Nothobranchius furzeri: one gene and its partner. The protein of the gene in region 2 interacts with the protein of the main gene of each other region in a biochemical or structural test. Links are inferred from orthologs where the notes say so. Each region holds a gene or a part of one and is shown on either strand. Other genes may lie near its edges.

The links.
Region 1: the proteins of usp8 (region 2) and stam2 form a complex in vitro, tested with the Homo sapiens proteins (3 studies listed by BioGRID, with this or other methods). The link is inferred for Nothobranchius furzeri from reciprocal best matches to the Homo sapiens genes USP8 and STAM2.

Annotation. Positions count from the first base shown.
Region 1 is NC_091754.1:32,010,852-32,016,420, reverse strand, and holds the start of stam2 (signal transducing adapter molecule 2), read right to left. Parts: upstream 3,685-5,569; 5' UTR 3,542-3,684; coding exon 3,502-3,541; intron 1,826-3,501; coding exon 1,741-1,825; intron 1,614-1,740; coding exon 1,538-1,613; intron 1-1,537. Other genes in the region: hacd2 (very-long-chain (3R)-3-hydroxyacyl-CoA dehydratase 2), read left to right, coding at 4,685-4,809.
Region 2 is NC_091749.1:41,743,866-41,748,328, forward strand, and holds the end of usp8 (ubiquitin carboxyl-terminal hydrolase 8), read left to right. Parts: intron 1-3,027; coding exon 3,028-3,160; intron 3,161-3,260; coding exon 3,261-3,419; 3' UTR 3,420-3,533; downstream 3,534-4,463. UniProt on the Homo sapiens protein: Hydrolase that can remove conjugated ubiquitin from proteins and therefore plays an important regulatory role at the level of protein turnover by preventing degradation. Converts both 'Lys-48' an 'Lys-63'-linked ubiquitin chains.

The DNA.
Region 1 (5,569 bases), on a different chromosome or scaffold from region 2:
TAAACACATAAAAACTTAGAGCAGTTGTGTTGTTAGATTTTTCTGTTTGCATATTTTTTGCTTTAAACATATAATTAATCATAAATGATAAAAAAACCTGTAAATGCTAGTTGGATGGAATCTGTATTCTTCATATTTTGTTTCAAAGGGCAACTAGGCAGTTGTGGCTTGCTTTAGCACCCCCTAGAGTCCATTTGTAGAACCGAAACCAAAACCCATCTCGCGGTGCTTTGTCTTTTTAACACCTTGATCCATCAGCTGAAATGTCTCCCAGCCTTCTTTAGTGTCTACAGGAGTGATTCATCACTAGTTAAAACAAATCAGCTGTGTTCATGATCTAACATACAGGAAACGGGCTGTAACCAGACTGCAGCACCAGGTATGTCAGCTCCGTATCCCAACAGAGGAAGTGGAATATTCTGGCCACAGAGGGCGATAGGATCTGGGTGGCCTTTCATAAACCCTGCAAAGGGTCGTTTAAGCACATGCTGGCGCAAGAAAATGATTTAAAAGCATGACAAACTTGCAAAGTATCCCTTTGTCATCAGTTTATCTCCATTGTGGTTGCTAGGCGATAGGCTGAGGCGAGGGCAGGAATAAAAATGAAGGCTAGCTCACTGGATTTGGACTCACTCTCTTTGATCTAATGGGGCTCTCCACCAGATGCAAAACCTAACAGATGAGTTTTCACCACAACGTCAGCAGAGCGTCTCCTCCTACCAGGACTGTTTCAGACACGCGGTGGCTGCGAACGCGTTCCACGCAGCTAATCTCAAAAGATAATGAAAATCACAGGAGAACTGCAAGATCACATGTGATTTCACCAGATCACATGATAACAAGCTAGGACAAACAGCTACAACGTAGGGCTGGGCGATAGGGCTTAAAATCAATATCACGATATATTGAGGATTTCACCTCGATAATGATAAATGGACGATAACTACAGGTATGTGCAGAAACAAATGTTGTCCACTAGATGGCGCTGTCACATGTATTACATTAAATCACATTTTTACGTGACTTAAGGTGGTACAGCTTCTTAAAAGGCCATGAACGTTGCCAACCTACACACATCTTTTCATTTGTTTATTATCTAATTTACTGAAATGAGAAAAATGATCGATAAAAGTGACAAATTTCGATAAAGATACATTTTCAATTTATTGCACAGCCCTACTGCCACGTTTGACTTCCTGTCTGGACTGATCGGAGCTGCTGAGCATGTTCTGAAACCATAGCATGTAAGACAGATCCAGCAGCACGTAAATTTACCGGAGGCCTCGATGCTACACTACAACGTGTCTGAGGCGTACCGCTGCACGCCTGGGGGAAACACACCCACAGACTAGAACGGTGACCGTTAGCTGTGGACTTCGCTTGGAAGACATTACCCGTCGCTTATGCATCTGATGGAAACCTGGGGTGATAGACAAGCCAACTGCTAGTCTGAGCAGAAAATTTCACACAAATTATTTACTCACCTTAGTTTTCTATTTTCTTAACTTTAAAGCCTAAAAGGCAGAATGAAACTCACGTTGAGAGCCTGCATGGCGACATGAGGCACTTTGTGGTTGACTCGCTTCATTATGGATTTCAGGCCGTCCTTCGGGCTGAACCAGAGGAGATAAACCAGATTAACTCCAGGAAATGGGATTGTTAGCAAACCATATATGTGTGGCATTAGACTCCATTCACTAAATCACTCCAGGAATTATTCAGTGTCTTTGCCCAGCTCACCCATTGGCTGTCGTTCCAATCTTATCGCAGATGTCCATGATGAGCCCCCAGTCATCTGTTGTGTTGTTTTCATTTGTTGCTTTCTCTGGAAATGGTGCATATGGTCAAGTGAGAAAACATGCTCGCTGCCATCATGGCTGCTGGGTTTTGATGCCAGCCACAGCAGGCGAGTGCCACCGGGCTCTTTGGTCACACAATGAAGCACAACCACCTCCCAACAACCTCCCTCAGATGAACATTTGGCACAACAGTCATGACTCCTGAGTCCACAGAGCACCATTGTTTGGTCTAAGCATGCTGCTGCTGGGGTGGGAAAGGCCGGCAAACGAGGAAGTGATGAAGAGAATTTACATTCAGAACAATAAAGATGCATCTAGACTTGGCAGCAGTAATATCACAACTGCTTTGAATAATGTTAGCCACTTTGTGTTGATTTTTAATTCACCTGCACTGAACTGAATAATAATAGTTTCATATTTCACTTTTTACCACATTGTTGTCTGTTGTTTTAAGTCCGTTCATCTGCTGTGGCTTAATGACACAAACTGTTGAGCCACAATTCTGGAACTTTAATATTGTATTCTAAATTTCCTACATTATCATTAACATTTTAATTAAGTCTTAATATTTTATATTGATGATAAAAAAACTCATGTTGGTTTTAAATATTGGTATTATCTCCGTTTAATATTCATTTGAATAGCTCTAAAGCACCAAACTTTATGAAAAGAGCGTAATAAAATATTTCAAATTGATAATGGTTTAACTGGATTCAACCATCCCAGCAGAGCGCAGTTAAAACACAGGCTTAATAAGAAAATGTTTAAGTTGAGCTGAGAACTAATATTACTGTTATTAGTGAGACAAGTATCCCTGAACCACAAAAGCAAACACATGTGGAGAAAAATAAGAATAAACGTGATTCTGAGAATTGAGCCGAATTGCTCCTGAGGTAACAGGGAGTGGAAACAACACATCAGCGATATTTGTTTAATTTCCAGAGATCTACACCTCACTACAACCCCTGCTGGGTTTTTAATACACACTGTTGGGCAATTTGATAAATAAAACCAAAAATATCTAAAATAAAACATGATAAAGCCTTCACAGACCTGCATTTTTTCTGTTTGTTTGGTAAAAATGTACTCCCAATATTATTATTTTTAATGATAATAACAATACAATTTTGAAACAAAAGCATTTTGAGCCAGAAAGTAATCTTTAACATGCTTATGTCCCACTTACCATTTCAGATCATAAAGCACAACATTATATTATTAGAAACGTTTGTAAGAGAAAAATCCATAAACTAGTTTGTGTTGACAAACAACTTGAAATTAAATTAAATTTAATTTAAAATTTGAAATGTAAATTATGACAAATAAATCATCCACCTGTGTCTCAGTTATGAATCTTAATTTATTTAATTGGATTTACGAGTATTTTAAAGTGTACTCGGTTAAAACTAACACATTTAAAGGGCCCTTGCTATTTTTTTAGGAAAAGAGCTAGCTGTTATCATGAGTCAGACTTAAGTTGGTTACAAAACAACGCCCGAAATGACCCTCAGACTAGATAAAAGTTGTTGACAAGAAGTCAACAAAACGTTAAAAAGTGGACAAAACCTGTCAGGGTTGAACGTATTAAAACTGCCAAAGCTGAAATATCGTAACTTTAGAGCTCACTAAGCTACGTTAGCATTAGCTTCTCGTCAGCTGCTCTGAGTCCATGAAAAGACCAACAATAAAACAAGTCACTCACCAACATCTTGATCGAAGGGATTTTGGGAAAATAAAGGCATTTTAGCGACTCAAAAGAAACTAGGCTCCGACAAAGAAGAGTACGCGTGTTATCGAGACTAAACTTAAACAAGCGTTTATTCCTTGTTGTCCATTAAACTTGCACTAGTTGCTCTTCCGGTGTTGTGCCAAAAACGGCACCCCTGTCGTCATAGCTATTTCCCAAATGCCTGTTCGGTTGGGAGGAGAGCCGAGAAACACTAGTAGTAGTACATTGATTTAGTCTGGCTTGCCAGGCTAGAGAAACACTTCAGTAGTTTTGCTAGGAAATATATGAAATATATAAAGTATTTATATAATATAGAATAGAATAAAATAGACTTTATTGGTCCCACAGTGGGGAAATTCACTTCGTACAGCAGCTCCAACACTTATATAAAACTTACATTACTATATATATATATATATATATATATATATATATATATATATATATATATATATATATATATACATACATACATACATACATACATACATACATACATACATACATACATAAAACCTTCGTCCACTAAAAACTACGAATAAAAAAGGAAAAGCTTGTGTTCCAACACTACTATGCAGCAAATGTAAGCTATAAAAAGATACTTTTTAAAATAATTTTTGGATTGAGCCTTAAATCTGATTAAATCGTGGTTTTGTTACAAAGTTGTTTTATTCTTTATAAAAATACATTAAAATGAACCCGTTTTTTTTTCTTTATTTCTGATGTTTTATCAGGAGGCAGTGTAGTGTTGTGCCGTCTTATTTACATATTATAAATGTGTTCAACGTTATCTTTTAAAATACGTATTTATCTTGTCTCAGGAAGTTAAATGTCGTTTTGTTTTCTTTAAAACCAAGTCAATGCAAATGCAAAGTGAAATTGCCAGAAAATTGATGGAGATGGATTTGGAGATTTCTGTATAATAAAAATCATCACAGGAGGACGACAAACGCACAGCAGAAACGTGATTCAAGAGTTACAAGATAGTTCAGCCCCCAAACCCCTGCTTCATCGATGCCTGCTCTTATTTCAAACCGGAAGTTTAAGAAGTTTAGAACCATCTTGTTTTGTGACGACACTTCCTGGTGTAACTCCCGATTGTTTCCTGACTCAGCCTGACGTCCACCGTCGTTTAGGACCGTTAAGGGTTGGAGTCATGTCGGCAGCTGTTCCGGGGACCAGCAAGGCGGCCCACGGTGATGCGGGCTCGAAGAAGAAGAAGGGACCCAGTGCCCTGGCCACGGCCTACCTGGTTATTTACAATGTTGTGATGACAGCTGGGTATGTAATGTGTTTCCTCGTGCTAACGCTGCTGGTGAGCTGGACCGTGTGTGCATTTGCGCTGCATGCAGGTCAGGACCCGAAAATCCTAATAATAATAAAAAAATAAATAAACAATTTGATGCGATAATACATAAGTATTAAAATGCTTAAATATAATTGGAGACATTGTGGTGTTATAATTTCATCCTCGACTTCTTACGGCTTACACAGATTAACATGAGCAACAGACAGCCAGCTGGCATGGACGCCATGGTGTTTACAATCCAGAAACAACAGGAAATACAGCTGGTTATGTTGAGATTCAATTTTATTTTATTTCTTACTAATTGTGCTACTTTTTTCACCATCAGTCCAGTAAAGTTAAAGACGTGTGTGTGATCTGGCTTCTCACATGAAATTCGAACACAATTTTAACGTGTGGCATCCAGATGATGACATTTCCTTTAAATGGGCCTAAAAACCTTAATCTCAATGGGTCTTCTTTCTTTTTTAGGTGATATTTAACCAGAGCTGTTTTAAAATGATTGGCTGTGCCTGATAAGGCCATAAGACTTGGCCAATCAAAGTCTTTGCTTATGAGGACTGAACCAACCTCCTTCAGTTCAGTTCATGTATGTAGTTCAAGATCTACAGTAGAGATTCTTACATTTCTCTTTAGTATAATTGTTTCCATCAACTAATATTTATTGGAAAATTTATAGTGATCATTGGTTTCTTCGAGATATAAATATTACTGCAAATCTATGTTAAAAGCATT
Region 2 (4,463 bases):
ACATGCTTTACATGAGCTAGCTAACCACAGGTCCTACTTGATAAAATAATCTTAACTTCAACATGAATTTTAACTCTATGAATAATAGCATCACCTTCATTTAGACAAAAACGTGTTTTGGAGAAAAAAGAAAAAGACTTTAGCACAACCAGTGTGTTTGTTTCTGACCACAACCAAAGTGTGGAAGAAGCCTCTGGAATGAGAAGCTAAATGTCTCCAACATCTCCAGAAACATCCAGCTGTTTTTAGCTAAAACTCTCAGGATGATCATGTCCAGGATGACTGAGAACTACACCTCCATGCTGCAGCAGCATTCAGTCAGAACAGGAAGTGAAACTTAAATGTAGCTGCTGTCAGTAACAATCTAACAGATTTTAAACATTAAAACTCAACAGAAATAGTTCAAAAAAGTCAATTGAAATGTTCACAACTTTGTGTGTGATTTATTATTATTATTATTATTTATTGTGGCAGAAGCTGGTGTGGTCCACCACATAGAAGCTTCTCTAGCATGATGACTTTAATTATTCTACATGTTACTGTTCAGCCTTCTGATGCTCATGCACACACACAAACACACACACACACACACACACACGAGTGTTGGTGAGCAGCTGCGTCTGACTGCTGACGCTCCGTTTGTGTTTTTATTTCTGCAGTGAGACAAACTCACCTCACACCGTCCAGAGTTTGTTCTTTAAAGCTTCTATTAAATCCACCGTGTTGACGTATTTTAACAAGTTTCCTCTACGCTGCAGGAGTTAAAGTTTACATTCTCAACTCAACTTTATTTGTAAATTGCGCCTCACCCTTTCTTTCCACCAGAGCCGTCAGCAGCACGTTACTGCAGCAGCACGTCATAGCTGCTGATAGGAACCGTTGTGGTCAACAGAACCTTTTCCACTGGAGCCGTCGGCAGCGTGAGTCGGCCGCGTCTCAGGAGCAGCATGTCGCAGCCCTTACACGCCAATTCTATTTTCTACGCGCGCCGCCTCTGAAACGGGTCAAGTTCGACATTTTTGGGGAAGGAAAGACAGGAAATTGGATGCGGAAACGGAGCGAAGCTCCCGAGATTTTCAGAATAAAGAAACGTACTGCCTTCCGGTTGCTTTACTTTAAAAAAAAGTTTCTAACTGTGCGGCCCCGTGAGAAGTTATCACCTAGCTAGCGGTCTCCTTTGTTTTTCAGGTCCGTATTGGCGATTATAAAACGGACAGAACATAAAACACAAACCTTTTGGAGCCATGTTGTAGTTTTCTCCTGCTTGTTGTTGTGTTTACTGATGAAGTCACTCGTGTGACTTCGTGCTCTGTCGGTGACAGCTGCTCCCCTGCTGCTTCGCGTCTCGTGGGAAGGGCCAAGCAGCAGTTTACGCGAGCAAGACGTGCTGCTGCAGTAACGTGCTGCTGACGGCTCCGGTGGAAAGAAGGGGTCACAGGTAAAAAGATGCCACCAAGGCGCTACACTGATCAAGTAAAAAACATAAAACATTAAGTCCAGAAAATAAAAACATTGTATCACAAGATACAGATAAAATACAGTGAGTGCACAAATCACTATAAGTAAAATAATAAAAACTAGTTAGAAAGGTTAAAAGACAGATCATAAAAGTAGGTTTTTAGCCTTGCCTTAAAAACCGCAACAAAGGTGAAGGCCCTTATGCTGAGAGGAGGCTCGTTCCAAAGCTTAGGACCTGCCACAGCAAAGGCCCTATCACCACGTGTCTTTAGGCGCGTTCTTGGGACCGAGAGGAGCATGAGGTTCTCCGAGCGGAGTGACCATGCAGGGGTGTACGGTTGAAGCAGTGACACCAAGTAAGGAGGGGCCAAACCATTTTAATGTTTTAAAAACCAATAAGAGTAGTTTAAAACGAATCCCTACATCAACGGGTAGCCAATGAAGCGCAGCCAGGACAGGAGTTATGTGGTCATACTTGCGCCTGCCCTCTAAAAGTCTGGCCGCAGCATTCTGGACCATTTGCAACCTGGCTACTGAGCCCTTGCTCACACCGAATAAAACAGAGTTGCAGTAGTCCAATCGCACCGTAATAAAAGCATGGACTACCGTCTCAAGATCATGACGTGACAAAAATGGTTTGATCTTTGCCAACTGACAAAGGTGGAAAAAGGAGGTGGAGATCACTCCATTGATGTGGGTATCAAAACTAAGGGCGCTATCCAGTTTAACACCAAGATTAGTCACCGATGCAGTCAGATGGCCATTAAATGACCCACAGTCAGTTAGGGAATAATCACAATGTCTGCTTGGAGCAAACAATATAGCCTCTGTTTTGTGATCATTTTGGCTCAGAAAAATTTCACTCATTCAGGTCTTGATCTCCCTCAAACAGTTAGTAAGAATAGAAATAGAGAGACCACTTGACGTGTTCAGAGGCAGGTACAGCTGACAATTGTCAGCATATAGGTGGAATTGAACTCCAAGCTCACGACAGATGTCACCTAATGGCAGAATGTAAACAGAAAACAACAGAGGTCCCAATATCGAGCCCTGTGATACCCCACAGGCTAGATCAGAGTACTCTGAGGAATAACTTCCCATCTTTACACACATTTCTATTTGTCAGGTATGATCTAAACCATTTCAGGGCTAACCCTGAAATCCCGACATAATGATGTAGATGGTGAAGCAGCACTTCATGATCTATCGTGTCAAAGGCAGCCGTGAGGTCCAGCAGAAGTAACATTACGGAGTAAAAGTTCGGCAGACGCGTTTGTTTATATTTGGCCGCTGCGCGTCGGGTGGGGGGAGGGGGGGGACGACTCAGTGCTGCACACAGACAGCTGGTGTGATCCGCTCTGAAAAGCGGATTCCTCTTCCGGTCAACATTCTAGGAATCGAAACTAGGAATTGAAATAAAAAAACTTTGAACGATTCCGGGAAAAACTAACATTTGGTCCCGGTTCCAATCGATGCTCGATGCCAACCCTAGTAATAACATAATAAAGTTCAAATTTCTGAGACTGAAAATGTAAACTTTGTATTTTCTTTATTTGTTTATTTCTTCAGGTTCTCTTATGAAGGTAGATGGAAACAAAAGCTACAGACTTCTGTTGACTTCCCACTAGATGGTCTGGACCTGATGCAGTATGTTATTGGACCCAAGCAGAACCTGAAGAGATACAACCTTTATGGAGTTTCTGTAAGTAGGAACAACACAATGCTCAAAACGTCAGCTAAAACTATGCAGTGCATTTATTTAGAAACTTTAATGCAAACCATCTGTTTTCCCCCACCACCAGAATCACTATGGAGGCTTAGATGGTGGCCATTACACAGCATACTGTAAGAACATCCACAAACAGCGCTGGTACAAGTTTGATGACCACGAAGTGTTTGAAATCTCCTCCTCTTCGGTCAAGTCCTCTGCAGCCTACATCCTGTTTTACTCCACCCTGTGACGCTGCTGCAGGACATCAAGGGGGAAACTACATTAGAGTAGTCATGCTCTAACTTGGAGGCCATTTTCTTTTCAAATAGCTCTGAGGAGCCTGGTGCACATAGTTGAGGGTGAAGTGGTCACATATGTGCAAGAGAGGACAGTGGCTTTGAGATCCTGACAGGAGAACGTCGGAGGCACGCTGTGTACTGCTTCAGCTACTAGAGGAGCCTTTAGCTGTTCAAACATGCTGTCTGTGCACATTACTGACCAACCAGAGACTAAACAGATGCTCATGTTAGTCTGACCTTCTTACTAGAGCTGTGCTTTAGGGCTGATTCAGATCATCTTCACTCTCATTTCTCTAGTAGGCAGCGTAGACAGCAGAACTGATCTTCAGCTTCCTTGTACTGCTGTTACACATGAACATGCACGTTTTTAATGCTGAAGTGGCACATTCAAACGTTTGGTGTAAATACACAACAGCGAATTCTGTTTGGTGACCAAATCTCTCTCTTTTTTTTTAACCGTAGCAACCGCCATGATATCACTATATAAATTTAACTGAATCACATTTGTTTTGAGGGTTTAACTGTAACGACTGATATAAGAGTAATGGGAGAAACTGTGAGTGATTTTTTTTCTAACAGATTTCAGACTTTTGCTAGTTCCTATTAACATCCTTCTTACAGAGTATGCAGTCAGTTTTAGGTTGTACAGCGGGTTGTTAAGCAGCAGACCTTTATCTTCTTCTCAGAATGCTTTAAACAGATACCAGACATGGGCTGGTTGTCTACCTGCTCCTTTAAACTTTATTCTCAGTTAGGTGGATGTTACTTTTTCAAATATCAAACTCAAACACTATTAAAAAAACTGGGAAAAGTTAAGTTTGAGATTCACTTATTTTGATTTTCCTCCAACCTGATGGATTTTTTGTGTAATGAGCTGGAAAAAATGAAGACATTTTGTTCTGCTGAGCGATTCTGTGTCGACGCTCGATGCCTGCCAGGCTAACTCACAGACACGACTTCTAAACGGACCAGAGATGCGAAGGTGCAGGATCTGA